4 linked regions of the Caenorhabditis elegans genome follow. The protein of the gene in region 3 interacts with the protein of the main gene of each other region in a pairwise test. Each region holds a gene or a part of one and is shown on either strand. Other genes may lie near its edges. The genes, in order: nhr-49, C05C10.5, F54D10.7 and gad-1.

Region 1 (8,087 bases), on a different chromosome or scaffold from region 3:
CCGAGGAACCTTCAATTTTTCAGTTGCTCGACAAAAATTCTTCGTTAATTTCATCGATTCGTCGAGGAGAAGCCGATCAAACCGAAATTGATGAGTTCCAAAAAAGATTTACATCCGTTTGTCTGGAAACGCTTCCAACATTGAAAGGATCTTGGTGGTTTCGAAAACCGAAGGAAGTGATTGAATCAATGATTGATCAAATTTGGGCATTTGGACCAGAAAGAGCAAGAGCCAATATTCTATTCAATAATGTTCAAAATTATGATAGAGATTCCGTTTGGAGAAAAACAGAATTTGGTGTTAGAAGATATGATCAAGCACTTGTCGCTGGATTTGAATTATTCTGTAATACTGGACCACTTTGCAATGAAATTATGCACGGAATAGCAGTTATTGTTGAAGAATGGAATGTTGATGAAGAAGATGGAGCTATTGGAGGACAAATGATGACTGCAATAAAAGCTTCATGCTCTGCTGCTGCTAAAAAACTTGCACTCCGCCTTGTCGCTGCCATGTACCGGTGTACTGTAACTACAGCCAGTCAGGCATTGGGAAAAGTTCATGCCGTTTTGTCACAAAGAAAATCGAAAGTAGGAATGGAGAATTGTAGAACATTTTCAAATATAGTTAGAGATTATAAATTTAAATATTTATATCCATCAGGGCAGTAGATTTTTCGCTTTTTTGAAGAAAAAAAACGATTCTATTTTAAAAACCGAAAATCCTGATAACTGATAAATTTAAATTTTACATGTTTTCAAAAAAAAAAAACACTAGAAAATTTAGAAAGAGTGCGATTTCGATGAAAATATTCAAGTTTTCAAAATAAAATTTCAAATTTACAAAAAATTAATTTTTAATTTTTTTTCCGAAAAAAAAATCCGAAATATTCTGATATAGCTCTAAAAATGACACTCGAAATTATGAAAAGTTAAATTTTGACCAAAATATTTAAGTTTTTCAATATATAATTTCAAATTTACAAAACTTTCCTTTTTTTTCAATTTTTCGGCTTCGAAAATTTCCTTTTTTTTGTTTTCGAATATAAACCTGAAATCCATGTCAATATTTAATGTGATTTGCCCATTGAGCATGTGAACGAAGTATTTAATTTTTGTAATTTTCGACGCATCTGTGCAAATAACGTATATATGGAGAGAATATAATGAATGAATCTTCTTTCCAACTATAATCTAAATAGATTTTATGGTTTAGTGTGCCGATTAAACAAATAAATACGGTATATCCAATCTCATTTATATGAGCATTTTGTTTCAAAAATTTCGAATTTTGACTATTACTTTAATGGCGTTGTATAAATACTAAATTTTAAATAAAAAATAATTTTGAATTCAGGTACTCTCCGAGGACATCAATGAAGCTACAAATTTATTCGAAGTGGTCTCCCTAATGCCCGTCGTCGAATCGTTCTCTTTCTGTGATCAACTTCGCAAGTTCACATCTGGAATGGCTTCTGCTCAACTTCAATTTTCTCACTGGCAAGTCATTGACGAGGATCCTTACTGGACGCCGTCTACATTGGAAGAAATTGAAGAATTCGGATTGAAGGGAGACAGTCCGAATCATGCAAGAGGATATATGGATGCAGTTAGAAGACGTAAAGGACTGCCAACCGAGGACCTGATTGTGGAGTCGGCGGAGAAGCAGAGGAATTTGAAAAAGAATAAATAATTTTTTTTTAGTTTCGTGATATTTTTTGTTGTTTGAATTTCCGGTTTTGACACATTTTAATCTTGTTGATTGTTTTACTTGTTTTTTTTTGTTCGTTTTTTTCAAAGAAATAATTAAATTGAAATCATCAATTTGAACTTTTCGAAAATATTTGCTCCAAAAATGTTAACTTATCATATAAGGCATATCTGAAACATTTTAATTTCACTCGGTTAACACTGTTTCATTCACGTGTGGTGGTGTCAACGACCTGATGGGTATAGCGTAGTACGGGAGAGAGGGTCGAGAGGAACTTTCTTACAATCTTTCTCTACCTCTTTTCATCTATTCATCTCTAAAGGTCTGCGCCTCTCCTGTTATCGATTGTCAACGTGCTGTGGGTGGTTGGCTGTCGTTGTTTGGTGTCTCTGTCAACTCCATTCTCTCTAGTTTTTCATATTTCTCGACATGTTTGACCAACCACTGTCTCTTTTTTGTCCTTCTAACCGACTGGCCTGCCAGCTTTAGCTTCTTCTTCTTTTTCACCATTTTCTTTTCTTTTTTTTTCGTTTCCTTTCTGTTTGCCAGTAGTTCAGCTTTTTTCCACAATCAAAAGTTCATAGATTTAATGACTGACTTTAAATGAGACGACGCCGGTCCCAATTAGCTTTGAGAGTACAAAGTACGGGGCATCGAACAACACTGAACTACATAATGTAGTCTCTCACTTCCTGTTTATATGGGGTGATTCGCAAACTCCTTGTATATACTCATCATTTTGTTAGTCAACTCATTCCGTTCTCACGATATGGACTACTTTCTTGATGCTTCTAAACATATTCAGTTGAATCAAATTGATGAAGAATCTTCAGATGATTGTAAGTAAGTTTTATAACGGACACATCAAGCGACATTGAAAGAAAGTCAACTTTTAAAATATCGACTTTCATGCCTTTTTGAATTTTCCACCAAACTGAGAACTACAAAACCAATCAGCGACTTGCTCATTGAAATCCAGAAATTAATAGAATGATTTTTGGATGGCTTCTTTGCAAAGTCCACTATATGGGTATATATGGATTTTTATACGTTCAAATAATATGTACATTTTTGAGTTTATTAACCTGGCTCTTCTAAAAGTTCTAAAGTAATTCAAATGCCCTTTCTCTTAGAACGTCATTCTTCGATGTGTCTCCTCATTTTCTACCAGAATTTACCAAACCCTACAACTGGATCCTCGTCGGTCACTTATTCGATGCATTACATCTCCTCGCTCCTTAGATATAGATCTTACGATCTTGGAGAGAAAAGGAACGACACTACTTAGCGCGACCGTCTATCTTATTCGATCCGTCGGACAAGATTGATCAAGAAGACTTTGAAATAGCATCCGCATTTAAGAATACCTCATTGGAGTGAGCAGAGAGAGAGAAAGACTACTGGAATCTTGCCGAACACATCGACCAGTTTTAGAGTGTGCCACATCAGTCCTTTTCTGATCTTCGCGTTTCCTTTTGTTTGCTCAAGACGGATGATTTCTCAATCTTCTCTACTTTCGCTACAATAGCAACACGTTTAGTCCTACACTACATCTGCTAAACTGGGAGGCTCGAAATTTCCGAGCTATCAAGTTTCGGCTTGCCCTTTCAATGTTCAAATTTCTACTTTTATTGGACTCGATTAGGATACTTTATTGAAAAACATTCTACATGAGCTTCGGTCTTTTTGAATATACGTTCAAAATTGTTCTATATTCAGAAACAATAAATTGAAAGTACCAAGTTTGTCCTTCTAGCAGTGGAAATTCTAATTATATGCTGCTGAATTATCTCCACATCCTCACCAATAAGGTCTAATATAAAACCTACAATTTCTGAACGCGGCCCATTCATCTGCCTAGTGGTCAATGCATCTCAATTGTGTGCACTTGCCGGTCCTTTATTATTAAGACAACATGCGTTCCACTCCTAAAGACACCATTGAAACACTATGACGTCATAGTCGATTTGCAATAGATACGGCAAATCGTTTTTTTTAATCCACCGTATCGTCAGGACATTTTACATTAGGCTTATCAATACTTATATTAAATTTTGTCTTATTTCTTGTGTGTCTATCATGTGTTAAAGCCATTGCATTGACTCTGATTTCTCTACTCGTCTGACACTCTCTCTACCTCCAACACTATTTCATCGTTTCCATGAACAAGTGACATTCGTCGTTTCTCTTTCACTTTGAAAACTTGCGTTGCTATCTGTTGTTTGGTTTTTTTCGTGTTTCATTTGTTTTTTTTGTTGTAAAAAGTTTAATTGTTTCAGTCATGGACCTAGTAGATCCTCTTGCGGAACCATGTGCCGTTTGTGGTGACAAATCAACTGGAACCCATTATGGAGTCATTTCCTGCAACGGGTGTAAGGTGAGAAGGGATAAATTATAAAATAATAAAAAATAAATTATATTTAGAATTATGTGAAATTATAAATTCAGTTCTCGTCACGAAAAATGATTTTGGAAATTATATTTTTTCCTTTTTTGAAAAATGAAAAATCTCAGTTTTTGCCACTTTTGGAAGTCGTTGATCAAAAAAATTGTTTCCTTATAATTTTATGGACTACTTATGTTTCAAATATTAATAATCAAACACTATAGGGATTCGATAAGCGACAGGGCTATAGTTTTCTCAAAAAGTGGCAAAAACTGTAATTGCCAGTTTTTACTGTCAATAAAAATTTTCTAACTTTTTTTGTTAACTTTGGTACCACAGGAGTAGTTTTTAAAAAACAATTTCCTCACTTTAAAGCAAAGTAATATTGACTCCACCTACAGTAACCCACGCTTTTCGCGCATGCTTTATTTGAAAACATATTGTTCGTGACGAGACCGAGTACTGTACTTTATGGTTGCAAAAGTTCGTATTAATTTAACTGGTTTTTGAAAGTTATGATTATCATCTCGAACTTTTTAATGATTTATCCCGCATTAATAAAACTCATGAATTTCAGGGATTCTTCCGCCGAACAGTTCTTCGTGATCAGAAGTTCACTTGCCGTTTCAACAAAAGATGTGTGATTGACAAAAACTTTCGATGCGCGTGTCGTTATTGTCGCTTTCAAAAGTGTGTACAAGTTGGAATGAAACGAGAAGGTATTCATTTCTCTTTCCGTTCAATATTTGAATATATCCAAAACACAGTGGCCTCATGTTTTTCACCAGTGACCTCTTTTCAATTTCGTCCGTGAAATGAGATCGGCCGCAAAAAAGATTCTAACTTGAGATATTGATTCGGAAATTTGCCCCGTTAACTCAGAATTTAGAATATATTCTTCTTTCTTTCCTTTTCCTGTCCGTAGATTCCATTTCAAAACACGATATTTCTAAAAAAAAATTGTTTCGTAGTTTTCTATCTAGAAAAAATAATTTTGGAGCAAAATATCGTATCTAATTCTACATACGTTTAAAATTTGGATGTTTTTTCATGTTTAATTCGTTATTTTAAAGAAGAAATAGAGTCATAATGACAGAACATAACTGTTAAAAATTGTATTAAATTTTGAATGATTTCTTTTTTTTTAAATTTACCAAAAAATTATATTGAAACAAAGCCACAATAAACATTACCGAAAAACGCAAAAATGTCGAAAATATAGTAAACTATAATTATATTTCATTCATTTTCGTGGGAATTCAAAAATACAAATTTTAACAACTATTTTCTGTCATTCAGGTCCATGTTCTATCATCTGAATCACATCCACGATCAATTCTACAATTTAATATATTTCAGCTATTCAATTCGAACGTGATCCTGTAGGTTCACCAACATCTGGAGCCAGTCTCAACGGGACTCCATTCAAAAAAGACAGAAGCCCCGGATACGAGAACGGAAACAGCAACGGTGTCGGATCAAACGGTATGGGACAAGAGAATATGCGAACAGTTCCACAATCCAGCAGTGTCATTGATGCTTTAATGGAGATGGAGGCTCGTGTCAATCAAGAGATGTGTAATCGATACCGAAGATCGCAAATCTTTGCAAACGGCAGTGGGGGGTCGAATGGAAATGACACAGATATTCAACAAGGAAGTGATTCTGGAGCATCGGCATTTGCACCACCAAACCGGCCATGCACAACCGAGGTAGTGAGTTGGATGGTACGTAAATTAAGAGGTCACATTGTTTTATTTTCAGGATCTGAATGAAATCTCCAGGACAACACTTTTATTGATGGTTGAATGGGCAAAAACAATTAATCCATTCATGGATCTTTCGATGGAAGATAAGATCATTCTACTGAAAAACTATGCACCACAACATCTCATTTTGATGCCAGCATTTCGAAGTCCCGATACAACTCGAGTTTGTCTCTTCAACAATACTTATATGACACGTGACAATAACACTGACCTCAATGGATTTGCTGCATTCAAAACAAGCAATATAACACCCAGAGTTCTTGATGAAATTGTCTGGCCAATGCGACAACTTCAGATGAGAGAACAAGAATTTGTATGTTTGAAAGCACTTGCATTCTTGCACCCAGAAGCCAAAGGACTCTCGAATAGCTCACAGATTATGATTCGTGATGCTAGAAATCGTGTTTTGAAAGCTCTTTATGCATTCATTCTCGATCAGATGCCAGATGACGCACCCACAAGATATGGAAATATTTTGTTGTTGGCACCGGCTCTCAAGGCTCTGACTCAGCTGCTCATTGAGAATATGACACTTACAAAGTTCTTCGGATTGGCAGAGGTATGAAAGCTTTTCTTGTTTGAATCCGTACATAAATGATAGCTTCAGGTGGATTCTCTGCTCTCCGAGTTCATTCTCGACGACATCAATGATCATTCGACGGCTCCGGTCTCTTTACAGCAACATCTTTCATCTCCGACAACGTTACCGACTAATGGGGTTTGTTTTTAATTATTTTATTAAACTTTTTATTCTAAAAAAATACAAAAATAGCGAAAACGGCCAATGATTTCAGGGAAAAACCGTAAAATTCTCTTTTTAAAAAAGATCTTCCATTTCAAAATTCATATTTTTCAGGTATCTCCGTTAAATCCAGCCGGATCAGTGGGAAGTGTTTCGTCTGTTTCTGGAATTACACCAACTGGAATGCTCTCAGCAACTCTTGCAGCTCCATTGGCAATTCATCCTCTCCAATCACAAGATTCCATTTTGAACAGTGAGCAGAATAATCATATGCTCTAATAATTCCATTTTTTCTCCCAAAACTCTTCACCTCATCTCATCTCCAGTTCTATTCCGAATCTGTGATCTTTCATCTTTTCCCTTATTGTTGTTTTGAATCATTACCCCCAATTTATAAAATAGTCCAGAGCCCAGCTATAATGTACATAACAAAAGAAGAATACCCTTCCGTCTCAGTAGTTGTTTCATCTTGAAACCTGTCTAGGCCATCTCTATATCATATCAGGTTATTGTTCTCGTCTCCCCCAACTCTTCTTCCTTAATCTTTTTTCCAGACGGGCTGGCTCTCGTTTATTCTTGTGATTATTATTGTCAATCAAATTATCAGTTTAGTACTTCAATATGTATAAGAAGTGACTGTCTTGGCATTTCCCATCTCTATTTAGAAGATTCCCTTCTTCCCATTTTCCTTCCTTCTTTTCAAGCGTTCGTACCAATTTATGTTTGCAAAAAGAAACTTTTATTTATACTTTTTCAAAGCTCATCGATAAAATACATTATTATACCATATTTTATTATTCGTATCAAATAAACACAATTGACTCATCATTATGAATTCACTCGAGAAGTTCAATGCCACGTCCTCCACCACCTCCACCAAGACCGTAAGTTTTATTGCAATTTAGAAATTTAGAAGAATTTACAAAAAGTATTGTTTTCCAAATGTTTGAGCACCTGGTGTGAGCTGCTGGAGGTGAAGCTGAGCTTTTTAGTTTTTTTTTTCAAAATTAGATTTTTTTAAATTGTTTATTTCTCTAAAACTCTTCAAATTGATGATTTTTGTTTTGATTTCAATTGACACGATCATCTAAATGATAGTGGATATATGACCATTTCCCAAGACACTTGAGATCAATTCAATGATCCGAACAGTGTACATAACGGGGTAAAAGTGATGATATGTCTATTGGAAGAGGGAAGATGAAGAAATTGTGAGCATTTAGGCTTAGGTGGGTGAGTTCACACCTCTTGGAGCACATACACTTCAGCCAGTTTTGGACATTTTATTTAGTTTTTTTGGGTTGCTTGTTTTGGTTTTTTGATATTCTTTCCATTCTGAGACAAGAATTTGGTAACTAACAATTAGTAGTAGATTTCAAAACGGTCAACATTTTATCTTTCTTTAAGATCTGTTCTTAAAATCAAATGTGAACCTTTAAAAAGTACCGTAACAACTTGTTTCAGTTTTCAATCATTTTTA
Region 2 (4,987 bases), 6.1 Mb from region 3:
GCATCAAATGCATCTAAGATATCATCGTCAGCTTTTCTATTCTTATCAGTGGTCATGATATAGATCCGTCCATCACTTCCAGCCACAGCGATATCGGAATTTAATAAAACTTTAGCATCCCAAGTGTTCGTAGTTGGTAATTGAATAACTGCTTCAGAAACAATTGCCAAATTTCCATCTTTGCCTCCATCTATTGCCCAAAATTCAAGTGTTCCGTCTTCACCAGTTGTTAATATGTGGGAATCGCTCAATGTCATACTATAAATGAATTCATGTGCCTGAGTTGCAAATTTTCTGAGAATCGACGCTGATGCAACATCCCAATGAATGATATGTCCATCGTTTCCAGCAGATAAAAAGTGAGAGCTTGATAATACGACGAGAGCTCGCACGACATCAGTATGGCCTTTGAAAACTGAGAGAGTGGTATCTCCAAACCACATACGAATTGTTTTATCAGCACTGGCAGATAGATAAGTGTTGGGAAGATCCGGGAAAGAAGCGAGAGCCCACACAGACAAGGTATGGCCTGGACAAACAATAGTCTGGAACTAATTTAACTTTAAAATCCAGTAAAAAACGATTAAAAATATATTACAGTGAATGACGACGAGTTCAACTCGGTAATCGGCCAGATGATGACGTTGGAATCCCACGAACCACTCAGCATGTGAGTCGCTTTTTCGTTAATGTGAAGACAGCAAACTGAAATTATTCATTTTGCACTTTTGAATATTTTTTAAAGCAAAAATACCATTCTGTTTATGCTCATTGAAAATTGCATATGGTTCCGCCTGACTCGGGCCAAAAACTGCAATTGTTCCATCTCTTCGGCCAACAAAAAGTCTCCATCCGTCCGCTAGTTCAGCGTATGCAATGGAGTTCACAGTTATTCCTTTCGGTTGTTCAAAGGCGTGCGTTTTCGTATACTGTTTTCCTTTTTTTGCCCAAAATTTAACCGTCTCATCACGACCACCCGATATCAAGCATCCGCCTTGAGTAACTGCCAAAGCCTTTGTGTCGGATTTGTGGGCTTCAATAACATGGGAAATTGTGTACTGTGGCATCTGCAAAATAAATTCCACTTCAATTCGGCAAATTCTAAAACTCACACTTTCCGTTTCCATTGGCACGTCACCGAGACCGTCATCTGCCATTATCTGAAGAATAGCTTTTAATTAAAGTTAATCAACAAAAAAATATAACGAAATTGAGAAAAATCCGAAAAAGTTTTGATGACAAACTGCAAACGATGCTCCGAACTAACGCCACATGGAAGAGGATTTCTACGACCCCGCAGTAGGCAAATTTGCGGGAATTCAAAATTTAACACTGATAGGATGCAATTTTTTGGAGAAGGGCATTCAGATTCGCTTAAATAAATATTTGAAGTTTCACAGAACATCAAGACTTTGCAAAGAGTGTTAAAAATTCAATAATTAAAAATAAATAATACTTTTATCGGCAAACTTTTTTTAATTTAGTAGGTTTTTTGAGAGCGAAATTTACATCGCACTAGATAGTCTCGAAACAGGAGTGATACCTTTTTAATTCTTCAAAAAAAAAACAAGAAAGGAACCGAGTTTGATAGACAATTGATTTATTTTTGTCCTACGCAAGTATAAATGGGGAAACGGTGTTGGTTCATTATAAAACAACATAAAAACGCTAAAACAGCGATACCAATAGACTACAAACATTAAACGAAAGTTATTATTGCACACAACTAATCAATGAGTGGGGTGGATTCAAGAAGATTGATTATATTAAGGAATTATAGGTATATCACAATTATGACTCATGGCAACAATAAGGTTTAGTAAATTTTTTAAAGATAAAAATGCGATCTCAACTGGAAAAATGTGGATAAAACGTTGAGGGGCAGCAATTTCAGTCCTGGGAATCATGTAGACAGATTGCCGACCTGTCTGAAGATTGATTTACCGCTATCCGGAAGTCGTCCCATTCGCTGCAGAATGATGTACTCGTCGGCTGCTGGAAGTGTATCCTCCGTTGGCATTTCGTCGAATGGCCCAAGATACCGGGTTTGCGATCTGAAAATTTTAATATTTAAATTGAGCCTAAAAACAGCTAGAAAATCCAAACTCACTTGGCAAAGAACTCTCCAGGTGTCAGAAGACCACGGAAGAAGCGATTGAAGTCCTTTGGAATCGCACGAACTCCTGGCAATTGTGTCGGGGAGAGTGCTCGACGACGTGGCTGCCCATTGTCGATATTTCCTGCACGCATATTCTCTTGATTTATGCGATTTGCAGCGTCTTGTGCTGGTCTTCTGGCGTCATTGGCGTTCAATTGCCGCAATGGACGCCGCTCTGGAAGTCGAATCGGAGCCACACGGTTGACACGTGGCGGCGGTGTCCGTCTGATCGCTCTTCTGACGTCTGGTGATGGTTCACGTGGTGGCGGGCTTTGCGATCTTCTGCGGTCAAGCCTGAATAATCTTATTATAGAAACAATTATATAACATTTTGGGACAAACAATTCTCTCCATCCCTTTTCGCTGAGCTCCGAGGCTCTGGTCCATCCACTGGGGAAGATTTGGAATGGATCTGCAGGCGGGGGACACAGAATATCAGCTTCTACCTGAAAATATAAATATTGTAAACGAATTTTAATTCAAGAACTCACAGCACGCAACTGGTCCCAGCGATTTCCATGAAAATGCTCCATAATTAGTGTGTGAAATAGGTGAGAGGGAGAAAAAATGGGTCTGTGGAATGAATGACAAGCGAAAATTTAAATGAAAAAATCAGAATTTTCCCGCGCATAATTTTAATTTTCGACTGATACACTTTCATCGGTAAAATAGAGGCAGATCAATAAAATAAGTAGGTCGAAAATAATTGTTTTTGTTTTTTTTTAAACGCGCGCGCACAAATAGTTCAAACACGATGACGCAAAAATACACAGTTTCGCAGTTTTTTTAAATTTCTTTTGTTTTACAACACTCTTTTCTGAAAAATGTCAGATTTTGACGATTCTGATTCAGAATTTCAAGGATTTGAGCTAAGGTTTGTTTTATTTTAATAACTAATAATAATTCTAATATTAACTTTTACAGATCACCTCAGATCCATGTAAAAGAATTCTTGATAGTCGAAGAAGAAACTCCAAAAATCATCAAAAAGGAAGAGGTTCCAAGGAAGTTCGAATCCGAGTTTGTTGGCTCATTTCTGGGAGAAAGTCCAGTTGTACTTTCAAAAGAAACAGCGTTTGGAGAAGCTGGAGAGTCGGAAGTTCTGGATTGGGATGCCAGTACAGTTTTCAACAGCCTAGCTTGCCCTGAAAACAACCTGTGCGTTTTTTAAAAGTATACATTTTATAAAGAATTAAATTTGCCTTTTTCCAGAGAAAAGTCAGTATGCGTCATTCGTCTCCACGACGTCCTCACAAAATCCGAAATGGGAGTACACAAAATGAAGCGACAACTTATTCATTGCGGGTCGGTCTTGGAAATCAAACTTTTCATCAATTGTCAATTTTAAGACAGCTCCTTGATGAATATTCTCCTCAACAACGTCGTGATTTGGGCTTTGATGATTCTCAAAATGTGAAGAATCTTCTTCAAATGATCCGAGCGTTCCGGTCAACTGTTAAAATCATGCTGATCGACGTGGAGGATCTTCAGGACCAGATTACACAAGAAGCGCAAGATGAGACCCCAATTATATCCAAATTTTCGAAACTTTTATACGTTTCCGGTGCATTAGCCGTCATTCCTATTTGTTGGTTTATGTACCGCAGATTTTGTTAAGTTATCTTTTAAATCTTGAATAAAAATTTAAAAAAAACATATGTTTTATTAAAATTGCTCTTATTCGTAACTATGTACGGATTTATATATATTTTTTTAATTGTACAATTCGCTAAAATGACAGTAAACTACATTTGAAAATTTTATTTAAAAAGAAGCTAACGTCAGTAGCACACTTGTGTCCTGGCCACCTGTCTCTGTTGCCCTCCCATCCTTATCACAGATCACACTTCAAACATCAAACTTCTCAAGGCAGAACTCCTCCCAAATATCACCCGAATTTTTCTTCTCAAAACTTTTCGCCAGTCTCACAACCACGTGTTTCCCAGACCTTCAGTTAACTTCACTTCTCATTTTCCCTGATTTTCTGTCTGCGTCTCTATAAAAAGTAGACAAAAAATGCGAAAAAGAAACGTTTTTGTGTACTCAAGTTGTGACACACTCGCTCAGACTATTGGCTACTGATGGTTTTTAGTTTTTTTTTTGCTTTAGACAATTCTACCTCTAAAAATTAAGATTTTATAACAGTTTTCTAAATTTTTATTAGTTCAGTGAATTTATCATGATTTTTCTAGAGCCCCATCGGAATTAACATTGAAAATTTTACCCAGACGCGTTATTTTTGCAACTTTTGTACTAAAAATACAGAACCCGGTCTCGACACTGCAAAGTTTGTTAATTGAAAAAATATGTGTACCTTTAAAGAGTACTGTAGTTTTAAAATTTCGTTGCAGCAAAATTTTTATATTTTTTCTCGCATTAAACTTTAACTGTTTTTATTGTTTTGTTTTAGTTTTCTTGATAATATTTTGAAATACTTGAGATAATTGAAAAACTGTGAAAAAATCTATGAAAATCATACAGAAACGATAGTTTGAAATTACCGTACATTTTAAAAGCGCACTCCTCTTCGCGTTATTACGGGAACAATAAATCATGAGAATGCGTACTTGGTACCGTAATAAATAAAAAATTGTCGTGTCGATACCGGGTTTTATTATTTTCAGTAAATGAGACGTTCCCATCACTAAAACGTTTTATTTGTACGTTTCCGCTACTTTATTGTAAATAATATTGATAAGAAATCAAATACGCAACACGGAAATTGTTATCGAGTATCAACACACAATTATAATCTTTTCTACTTAATACCGATTCCTTGTTCCACAAATTTGACTTTCTGGTTTTTCCATCTTATAATCCTAAATATAT
Region 3 (5,012 bases):
CACAGATCACTTGGTAGATTGGAACATTGAAATTTGATCAGAACTATTTGTATTTTTAGTGATTTTGCTTGATTTATAGCTTTATTCTATTGAAATCTTTGATTTCATAAAAGTTTTTAAACAAATTTTGCAAGATTTCCCTTGATAAATGTTGCTTTACTTTTTTATCGATTTCGTTGTAAAGAAAAATCATTTTTCGGTGTTATCAGTCAAATTAATGACTAAAACTTTTTAAAAAGATTCAAACTAATAATAAAAATTCTAAAATTAAACATTTATGCAATAAATTGCTCTAAAATCAATTTTTATTTGCAAAATTCTGTTTTTGGTCAAAAAAAAATTTCAGATTCGCCGAAATTCAGAGCTCATTTCGAGCTTATTTGGGGAAAAATTTATGTTAAAATTAAGTAAATCGCATCGCGAACAGTCTCTGGGCGGTCCCGCTTGTTGAAAATTGCTTTAAAATCCCTAAAATTCAGCAGAAACGCGATACACACAACGTGAAAATGTGTTGAAAAAACATTCACCATTGAAACGGATTTCTTCTCTGTCTATCGGCGCCCCTGGAAACAACTGGGTATCTTTCTTGATTGCGAGTTCGGTTTCAAATAGGAACTGTTTCAAAGCTTCACTCCATTCGCGCTTGCCGTCACGTGTCAGTTGGAAGAGGATTTTCGCGTCGTTCGTCGGCAAATTTTCATGTACAGCAGCCTCTGGTTTTCGAGAAATTTCGTTCTTAATGGATGCTCTCCTTCATTTCATCACGATGTTTTTGAAAAGCCTCCATCATTGCTTTATTGAATTTTTCTTGATTTGCCTGATGTTCCTTTCGCTCGACTTCCAGTTTTCGAACGGCTTCCATGATTTCCTTGTTGAGTTTTGTCTGCTCTTCAATGACTTTCTCAAGCTGCGAATCGGATACAATGCCCGAGTTTTCTGGCTTCTGGAAAAGTAGAATTTATTAGGTGCTAACAAAATAAGTGTTACCTTTCCAAGAGCCAAACCAATATCTGCAGTCTCCATGCGAAGTTTTTGGAATTCAGACATCAAATTGTCCGAGCGGAAATTCGACATGGTCGCCGAGATTTGGAGAAATGAATTTAATTGGTAGCAGAAAAATTAATTGATTCACGTTTTTTTGAATAAAACATTTATCTTTCTTTTAATCAAATAATAATAATATCCACATTCAACAATAAAGTTCAATAAATTAACAACAACATTCACAATCTTCATCACACTTTTCATCAGTATGTTGCTTGATGACAGAACCGTCCTTAATTCCAGCTTCCTCAAGAGTTTGATTATACTGAAGCTCCTTGTCATTGAGCATGAGACGTTGGCGATGCAGTGCGAGGCCACCGTGCTTCAGGAGGGCCATTCCGACCGTGTAGATTGTGTCAAGGGAGTCCAGTTCCATCGGGATTCGGCTTCCGTGAAGGATAACATTGAACTTTATGTTTTTCGAGCCAATCTGAATAATTTTTTTGCTAAATTTACGGGCCAGGGGTGGGCGGCAATTGACAAATTTTTTTGTCGGCAAATTCGGCGAATCGGTTAATTGCCGGTTGGCCGATTTGCCGTTTCTGGCAAGTTTCCGATTTGCCGTTTGCCGAACATGAGATTAAGCCTATGCCTAAGATTAAGCCTAAGCCTCAAGTAAGGAACACAATCATCTCATAAAATTACCTTTCTCCGGATGGCTTGAGTATCCTCAGTCACTTTCTTGAAAAATTCCCTCTGTGCCTCTTTCATAGCATCGAGTCCAGTTTGGAGCAACTTGATCGCATCCAAAACATCATTCTCCTCCTCCTCATCTTCGTCTTCAGAGGTCTCATTATCCTCATCAAGCTTCTCAAACAGCTCCTCCTTGAAAATCTCCAAATCATCGCTGAACTCCTCCTTCTCCCGAGCAAACGCCTTCTTCATAGATCTGATTGCGTCGAGCATTTCTTTGTTGAAAGCGTCTTGGATCTTCTGACGCTTCGAACGTTCGATGGACATTTTCTGAATCGCTAGCATCAGTTTCTGGTTGACTTTATCCTGATTTTCACAAAACTTGTCAAATTTGGAAATGCTCAAGGACGTGATCGAACCGATGGTGGGACCCTGGAATTTGGAATAAATATTAATAAGGCCGATACAATTCAAATTCAAACTTTCTCAAGGAAATTATTGATTCCAGCAGTTTCAGATCGCAAATTTTCAAACGCCGACATCAAATCCGACGGTCCATCTTTATTGGTAGATTTTCCAACAGTTGGGGGCATTGCAGAGGTTATTTTCTGGAATTTAATTAAATTTTAAAATAACAAGAAAAACGGGAAAAGGACACACAAAAAAACAAATCAATGAGAGAATGAGCCTCTCCCCTGCATACCGATTGTAAAAGGGGATCGGAAATCGCCTCGTGGCAAGTGACCCACTTTATTGGTGCGCGGCGGGGAGATCAATTTTTTTTTGGCATTTTTGAAGATTATTAAAACAAAGAACCACAAAAAATGTAGTTGTCCTGCGCCTTACAGATGAAAAATGCAGAAACTCAATATATGAGCGGAGCAACTTGTCATCTAATATGTACGTGATCTTTCAACGATCAGTTACTAAATAAAAATTTCGAGTTTTCATTTCCTTTCCGGCCCAGACCATTTTGCAAAGTCCCGGTCATACTCTAAAGATGGCAAACTCAGATAGCATTTCTTTCTTTGCCGTCTACCGTCTCTGCCAGGGGTGTGCGGCAAATCTCAAAATTTGCCGAGCTCGGCAAATTCGGCAAATCTATTTTTCCAATATTTGCCGAGCACGGCAAATTCGGCAAATTCGGCAAATTTGCCGTGCTTAACAAACTCGGAAAAATTATATATTTTTTGATATTTTTTGGAGCACCAAAACTACTGAATTCTTAACACACCTCTGGTTTCTGAACAAGTTAGGTGTAGTGTGTCTGCTTAAACATCAAAATAACTCAATTTGTTGTCATTTTACTAAATTTTTGGCGAAAAAATCAACAGTTTTAGTCAACATTGTACTGTCAAATTTTTGACGTATGCGGCAAATTTCGAAATTTGCCGAGCTCGGCAAATTCGGCAAATCTACTTTTTTGAAATTTGCCGTGCTCGGCAAATTCGGCAAATTCGGCAAATTTGCCGCACACCCCAAAATCATCATTATTGGCAGCAGAGACTCTCTGCTGCCAATAATGATGATTTTAATTTGTTTTAAAATTGATTTTTTTTGTGCATCTTCAAACTGACGTATCTCGAAAAATACACATCTGGAAAACAAATGTTTAACTAACAAAATGATCAGAAATATTTTTTCTTTTTAATTCATTAATTTTTATCTCAATACACCAACTTTTTGTAGAGTTAAGTAGAGACATCAAAGCCATTTTACCAAAAATCACAAAAAATTTTGAGAACTCCTTTGCTGTACCCGTCATAACCCTACGCCCATCAAATTTGAAAAGATAAATTTTGTTGGATAAAAAGTAAAAAATATTTCTCCACGTTTTATTAGTTTTAAGATTTTTGATATTTTCATGTTCCGCCAAGTTACAGACCGTTTTTCGAAAAAATCCAATTTCGCTCATAAAACTCTTCATATCCAACGTAAAAACTTGAAATTTTGAAAAATGATCACTTTTTTGAGGTCTCTACAATGTCCTAAAAAATCTTTCAAAAAATCCTGCCCATCTCCAAAATCGTCCTTCGCTCCGAAAAATGAAATCGGACTTTTGCTTCTCGAGAAATGGGCGAAAAAATCAAATTGCGATTTTTGGGTCGAAAAAAATATTTTTAGAAAGCTGAGAACACGCTATTTACGAATTTCGTGTTCATTTTAATTGATTCCTTCTCTGAAATGACCTAAAAATTAAACAAAAAGAACATAATTTTAATTCTCACGTAAAATTTTTTGGCATGTTGCTCAGTGCTTCAATTGTTTTCTTGCGAATAAAAAATTGACGTGAGAATTAAAATTATGTTCTTTTTGTTAAATTTTTAGGTCATTTCAGAAAAGGAACCACCTAAAATGAACATGAAATTCGTAAATAGCGTGTTCTCAGCTTTCTAAAAATATTTTTTTCGACCCAAAAATCGCAATTTAATTTTTTCGCCTATTTTTCGAAAAGCAAAAGTCCCATTTCTTATTTTGGAGCGGAGGACGATTTTGGAGATGGACAGGCTTTTTTGAAAGATTTTTTAGGACATTGTAGAGACCTCAAAAAAGTGAGCATTTTTTAAAATTTCAAGTCGATACGTTGGATATGAAGAGTTTTATGAGCAAAACTTGATTTTTTTCAGAAAACGGTCTATAACTTGACGGAACATGAAAATATCAAAAAACTTGAAACTGATAAAATGTGGAAAAATATTTTTCACATACAACTAATTAAAAGTTTTCTTCTGAAATTCAATGAATGTTGGGTTATGACGGGTACAACAAAAGAGTTCTCAAAATTTTTTGTGAATTTTGGAAAATGGCTTTGACTCTGTGTGGCTCTACAAATAGTGGGTTTATTAAAATAACAATTAATTTAATAAAAAGAAAAAATATTTCTGATCATTTTGTTAGTTGAATATTTGTTTTCCAGATGAGTATTTTTTGAGATACGCTAGTTTGAAGATGCTCAGTTTAGCGAGTTTTGGAGGATATTTGCTCCACTTAGCGTCTTTCCCTATATTTTTTTTGTTTGAAAGTTTATATAGACATATAGAGAAATGCTTGTGCTTTTTGAAAATATATTAGTTTCCAGTTAAAAGTTTTGAAAATATGCTCAAAATATGTTTCAAAGTCGCAATGCTCCTAGAGAACATTCACATTTTTCGTTAATTTTGATGAGTTTTTTCTAGTTTTTAAAACAACAGAGCTTTGGCCCTTTTTACCTCTACTGTGGTATTTTCCTGCTTGGCACTTTGCCAAGAACTCATAAACACTGCGAGTACGTTGGACCTCCAGTTTTCCCAGGATGGGGCCTATTGATCGAAAACGCAGCGTTTGTAAGGTGCAAG
Region 4 (6,002 bases), on a different chromosome or scaffold from region 3:
AAAATCAGCAATGAAATTGAAGGAAAATTAAATTTATAGCGAGCGTTTTCAGAATGGTCAACGTGACCTTCAAGGGTCAGCCTGGGGTTATATACTGCCTAGTTATCATTATCAAACGCAGTTGCCTAAATAAATTTTCTGGTAGATGATGTATGTTTCATGAAGGACAGAGAAGGCGGAGGGGGGCAAGTCAACGAAAAAAAAACGATATTCGGAGACGAGAAGGAAGCGGTCAGAATAATGATGATCACATGACGACAGTCGCGCAAACAAGTAACCAATCATATAGAGAAATGCCAAAATATTTTAATCGCCGTTAGCAAAATATTTCGTGAAATTGAAGTCTAGAAAACTGATGAAATCTAAGTTTCAGTTATCAACTGCCGAAATTTGGAATGATGATTTGTTGGAAACGTTTTTGTCTATAACAATTTAGATGTATACAACTCATTGAAACATTAAAATACGTTCAGTATAAGAATTTACGCAAATCTAAAAACAATAGACATTTTACAAAGTTAGTTAGGTTTGAATGATGTCACTATTTCTATTTAATTGGGAGGGTGGAGATTGTTTTCGGGTATAGTGTGAGATCTAGGCGCAGTTCAATTCAGTGATCAACTTGTGGTCAAGTATGTAGATGAAACTTCATACGACTTGACTCATTTTATAGATTGATCTCAAGTCTAATCTCGAAAAAATGTTAGATTTATGTTTTCAACCGTAACCTATCATTATTTTAACAGACAGAAAGTTCGACCAAAAAGAAGATAATTATCGATATAACCGTCGAGAACTTGGATGTTTCTCGGGAGGGAAAGGGAAACTTCAAGGACGAAATTTCACGGCGTTGTTTTGTTTGCTACTAGCTACAATTTCTCGGCACTGAAACAGGAAGAAAATGTGAAAAGGAAATTGTAGAGTAAACAGTTGTGGAACTGTAATTTCGGATTGCATGTTTGTTCTACACACTTCAGCAAAAAGTGACCCTTTGAATAGGCTGCACATGGTATCAGTTGTGGGAAAATGTATGATAAGAAAGAAATGGAATGGAGGCCATGTCAATAATTTCTTCTTTAAATATAGTTTTCTCAATTTTTGGAATTAAATCCATAATAGAAACGTTTTTAAAAATACAGTTTCAGGTTTTTGGATTAGGAGATCAAAAGCGAAACATCCGAACCGGGTTCAATTTTAAAAGTGAACCTGATCCCGATTGGATACAATTCTTGCGGCAAAAGTGTAGCCATCGTCCACCGGACACTGACACAAACGACCACATATTGTTGAAATGGGGGGGAGTTGGAAGAATGGGAAAGATAGAAGTGAGCAGCATGCTAGAGTGTAGCTAGCGTTAGATATTTGGACAAGACAATGACTATGGCGAACACACAATTTCTCCAACATCATGTGATCATTGACTCTATATTTATTGGGACACAAAAAATAGAGAAAAAAATAGGAAAACAATATTACAAGAGGGAGACAGACAGATGAAAAACAAAAAATTAATGCAACGACTACTTCGTTCTCGGCATTTTGAAGACAGGCTGTAGCTCTTCGTCATCTTGATCTTCTGGCTCGACTGCAGTTTCTTGGAAAATCTTCTTTGGCTGTGTCTTTCGATACGCTTTATCAATGTACAATGGATTCTCTTCGGCGTCTTTAGCATGTTTCAGGATGCTTGCACGAACATCGGTATCTTTTAGGAACTCGGCATTACGAGCAGTTCCGATTTGCTTTGCCAAATACGAATGAAGACTTCCACCACTTGCAGCCACACGTCCATTTGCGCTCTTTCCGTTGATAGGCATATCTGCAGGCTTCCGGAACTCGGGACGAAGCTTGTTATCCTGCATTCGGAGATACTTCTTGATTCTCCATCCAGTGACTTCCTTTTCTTCTCCTTCCTCTCCGCGCGGTTGGAACATTTCGAGGGAAAGAGCTGAAATATGAAGATAAATATTTTTCGAAAAAAATTGTTTAACTTACGAGAAAGAACCATATCTTCTCGAACAACTTCAGATGCGCGATTTCTTTTGAGTGGCTTCGTCACACATGACATAACTCCTCGCTGTGACATCGTTTGATCGTAGTACACGTGAATGGTGCCATCCGAGAGTCCAGCGATAATTTGATTCAATCGCGGGTGCCACTGAATTCGGTGGCACGAAATTCCAGGGTAATCAATTTTATAGACAAGATCAAATGTCATTGGATCAAAGAATTGTAATGTTCCAGGTGTATCCTTGTTGGGTGACGATGTACCAGTGAAGACAACCTCGGCACGAGGGGAGAATCCGCAATCAGTACTACAAAAAATATACTTATGGTGAAGTTTTTAATAGAAGGATACCTTTTGAAAGCGTTTTCGAGACCGGTTTTCACAAGAAGCGGCTCTTTTGGGTTATCTAAGCTCCACATCTTCAGAGTGTCATCAAAACCTCTAGACAGTAATCTCTTTGAATCGGGCGAAAAAGCAATAGAAGTAATCGAGCCGTTGTGAGCTTTGCGTACAAGGTAATTTACATTGACCTAAAATTAAAATATGAGAATAAACAGTGTTTTTGAACTTCAACTTACATATTGCGATCCATACTTCCATGCTTGAACAGATCCGTCATCACAACCGGCGGCAATCCATTTTCCGTCAGGAGAAAACGTGCAAACTTGCGGGCTGACACGTTTTCCATTAGCTCCTTTTGTTTTGATGACTTTCCTGTGCTTGTTGATGCATTTGGTGATTACTTTATGATCATCGAGGTTCCATAGTCGTAGACTTCCATCATCAGAACAAGAGATAAACTCGTTCTTGTTTAGTGGATTGAATTCGACACAGTTAACTGTTGCTGTGTGTCCTTTAGTGATGTTTAAATCAATAATATACTGATCTCCACGAACTGTTTCAGACCATTGTTTTCCTGCTCGATCCAGTAGGCGAATGATAGCTTCTCCACTAGCTACTACAAGAGTTTCGCCGTTCGGAGAGAATGCCAGGGAATTGATAACGTGACTTTCTGCAGGCAGAAGCTCTTTGTCGTATCTCATTGACATGTCCATTTTTTGAAAATCGAACAGCTTCACGTAATAGTCAAGCCCTCCACTGGCAAACCGAACACCAGGAGGCTCAACCCGAAGTGCACTGATGGCTTGAGTGCCATGGCTGATCTTCGCTTCACATGCAGCTGGAATCAGTTTGATGATGGAGATTGCTTCTGTCTCGTCAAAATCGCTATCATCACTATCTTCGGGACCTTCAGCTCGAGACGAGGAGGGGCCCGCTTCAGACTGTTGCATTTGGAATCCTGGAGGTAGATCTGGCATGAAATCTGGAAAAAACAAATTTGAAATAATTAAAACATTATATTCGGCTTACCATCTTCATCATCAGATACAGCTGAAGAAGAAACACCAGATTCTGATTTAGAAGACACCGATACCGACTGCGGAACGTGAGTTGGTTCCTCAGTTCTGGGAGCATTGCTTATCGTTTGCGCGAACATTGCTTGGAGGTCAAAGACGCGTGCCTTCTTTTCAGAATTCTTTTTTGGAGCCGTATTATCATCCATTGTGGTGATCTGAAAGAATTATTGAAATTCGTTTTCATCTATTAGGCGGTAACGGGAAAAAAAGAGTTAATAACGAAAAGAAACGTGTAATACAACCAATATAATGAACTGCCGTGGTACATATATAATATTTTGGCGAAAAAAACTAATAAATTCTGGAAACAGTCCTGGAGTTCTGATGAAAGCTGAAAAATGTTTTCGAATTTCGAACATTGAGGACGTGGCTGACTTGTTTCGGAGACTAGGCCGCGGAGAAAGTGTGGACAATCGGACATTACTTCGCGCCGAGACCCTTCCACAAACCGTATTCGTGTTCCTTGGCACCATTTAAATTCTTTTCCCATTTTCAGTTTTTAAAGTTTTTACGCGTCATCAATTATCGATTTTTGCAGTTTAAATTGTTCAGAAATGTTTTATTCATCATTTTGTCATTGCTCAGAGAAAACGAAATACATTTTCTTCTAAAAAAATCAAATTGAAACCATTGCAACATGTTGCACAATATTCTAATTTTCCATCACAACTCTGTGCAATGTAGAATAACCAGTTCTCTATAAATATCTTTTTTTTCGCATTTTTGAGTTTCTTCCCCGAATTAATTACTTTAACTCTCTTTTCGTGTTTTATATAATACAATTACAGGTAATCGGTGACGTGCAGCACAAATAGAATATGAGCGCTCCCGCAGCAGGTGCTACCGCCGGAGGCGATGACGCCGCCGATAGAAATGTCGAAATGTGGAAAATTAAACGGCTCATCAAAAGTTTGGAATTAGCCAGAGGGTAACTATTTTCGTGAAGCGTTTATTTTACATTTGTTTTTTTACAGAAATGGAACTTCTATGATTTCGCTGATCATTCCACCAAAAGATCAAGTGGCTAGAATCCAGAGAATGTTGGCCGAAGAGTACGGAACGGCATCTAACATCAAGTCTCGTGTCAACAGACTTTCCGTTTTGGGAGCTATCACATCAGTACAGGGAAGATTGAAACTCTACAACAAAGTCCCACCAAATGGATTGGTCGTTTACTGTGGAACAATCATGACCGACGAAGGAAAGGAAAAGAAAGTTAACATTGATTTTGAGCCATTCAAAGCAATCAATACTTCATTGTATCTCTGCGACAACAAATTTCACACCGAAGCTCTTCAAGGTATTTCTAATTTTCATCATGCATCATAAAATATACCATTTTTCAGGTCTTCTTGCTGACGATAACAAGTTCGGATTTATCATTATGGATGGAAACGGTTGTCTGTTCGGAACACTCCAAGGAAACACTCGTGAAGTTCTGCACAAGTTCACTGTCGATCTTCCAAAGAAGCACGGTAGAGGAGGTCAATCTGCTGTCCGTTTTGCTCGTCTCCGTAATGAGAAGCGGCACAATTACGTCCGTAAAGTAGCTGAAAATTCGGTGGAACAATTTATCAAGAACGACAAGGTTACAGTTGCTGGACTTATTCTTGCTGGTAGTGCAGATTTCAAGACAGAGTTGGGACAATCTGATATGTTTGATCAAAGACTTCAAGCCAAGATGATCAAGACTGTCGATATTGCTTATGGTGGTGAAAATGGTTTCAACCAAGCTATTGAACTTGCTGCCGATACGCTGGCAAGTGTTAAGTTCATTCAGGAAAAGAAACTGATTGGTGGATATTTCGATGAAATCAGCCAAGACACTGGAAAATACGTTTTCGGAGTTAAAGACACTCTTGCCGCACTTGAAATGGGAGCTATTGAAACTCTCATCTGCTGGGAGAATTTGGATATTGTTCGGTACAAGATGAAAAATTCACTCGGAGAGGACATTCTTCTGAATCTGAGACCTGACGAGGAGAAGGACAAATCTCATTTCACCGACAGTGAAACTGGACAAGATATGGAAATTATTGAGACTATGCCACTTTTGGAATGGTTTGCTAATAACTACAAGGTGGGCGCTCGCTTTATCGAAATTTAATTTTTTATTAATGTTTTGTAGAACTTCGGAGCAGCTTTGGAAATCGTCACAGATAAGTCGCAAGAAGGAGCCCAGTTTGTTCGAGGATTCGGAGGTATCGGAGGATTGCTCCGTTATCGCGTTGACTTGGCTCATGTAGACCTTGAAGACGAGCTCGACAACATTGACCTTGATGACTATTGATCACGGGCGGCAGTAGTGAGCCATTGGGCGCCATACTCGTTTCTTTTGTTATTTAAGCTTGTATCCTCTTTTTTCTTTATCAATCTCTTCATAAATTATCCAGCATTGTCAAATTATAATATTTCCCTTTCTCAATCATCATCATCATTAATTGCTATATCCCATACCACACTTTATTCTAAGTTTCTATTCCATTTCATCGAGTTTGCGCCCCGTGTCCCTCACTACTGTCGTTTCGTTTGGTCTGTTGATGCTTTTAGCTCAGCTGGCAAGGCATCTCACGTCTGCC

Evidence for each region.
Region 1: the proteins of F54D10.7 (region 3) and nhr-49 interact in a two-hybrid assay, tested with the Caenorhabditis elegans proteins (2 studies listed by BioGRID).
Region 2: the proteins of F54D10.7 (region 3) and C05C10.5 interact in a two-hybrid assay, tested with the Caenorhabditis elegans proteins (2 studies listed by BioGRID).
Region 4: the proteins of F54D10.7 (region 3) and gad-1 interact in a two-hybrid assay, tested with the Caenorhabditis elegans proteins (2 studies listed by BioGRID).

Annotation. Positions count from the first base shown.
Region 1 is NC_003279.8:9,867,239-9,875,325, forward strand, and holds nhr-49 (Nuclear hormone receptor family member nhr-49), read left to right. Parts: upstream 1-2,479; coding exon 2,480-2,549; coding exon of another isoform or gene 2,550-2,553; intron 2,554-3,989; coding exon 3,990-4,087; intron 4,088-4,673; coding exon 4,674-4,815; intron 4,816-5,455; coding exon 5,456-5,811; intron 5,812-5,860; coding exon 5,861-6,424; intron 6,425-6,472; coding exon 6,473-6,583; intron 6,584-6,721; coding exon 6,722-6,886; downstream 6,887-8,087. Other genes in the region: K10C3.5 (Elongation factor-like 1), read left to right, coding at 24-590, 1,357-1,692.
Region 2 is NC_003280.10:9,936,931-9,941,917, reverse strand, and holds C05C10.5 (uncharacterized protein), read right to left. Parts: upstream 2,879-4,987; 5' UTR 2,692-2,878; coding exon 2,650-2,691; coding exon of another isoform or gene 2,646-2,649; intron 2,605-2,645; coding exon 2,501-2,604; intron 2,453-2,500; coding exon 2,111-2,452; intron 2,055-2,110; coding exon 1,904-2,054; 3' UTR 1,486-1,903; downstream 1-1,485. Other genes in the region: ufd-3 (Ubiquitin fusion degradation protein 3 homolog), read right to left, coding at 1-551, 599-705, 755-1,067, 1,113-1,157; C05C10.7 (uncharacterized protein), read left to right, coding at 2,983-3,032, 3,083-3,316, 3,371-3,463, 3,508-3,775.
Region 3 is NC_003280.10:3,819,012-3,824,023, forward strand, and holds F54D10.7 (Ubiquitin-like domain-containing protein), read right to left. Parts: upstream 2,286-5,012; 5' UTR 2,271-2,285; coding exon 2,160-2,270; intron 2,110-2,159; coding exon 1,690-2,109; intron 1,475-1,689; coding exon 1,211-1,474; 3' UTR 1,138-1,210; downstream 1-1,137.
Region 4 is NC_003283.11:6,429,919-6,435,920, forward strand, and holds gad-1 (Gastrulation defective protein 1), read right to left. Parts: upstream 3,579-6,002; 5' UTR 3,570-3,578; coding exon 3,377-3,569; intron 3,330-3,376; coding exon 2,584-3,329; intron 2,536-2,583; coding exon 2,357-2,535; intron 2,313-2,356; coding exon 1,993-2,312; intron 1,946-1,992; coding exon 1,521-1,945; 3' UTR 1,402-1,520; downstream 1-1,401. Other genes in the region: erfa-1 (Eukaryotic peptide chain release factor subunit 1), read left to right, coding at 4,242-4,351, 4,398-4,723, 4,770-5,503, 5,552-5,713.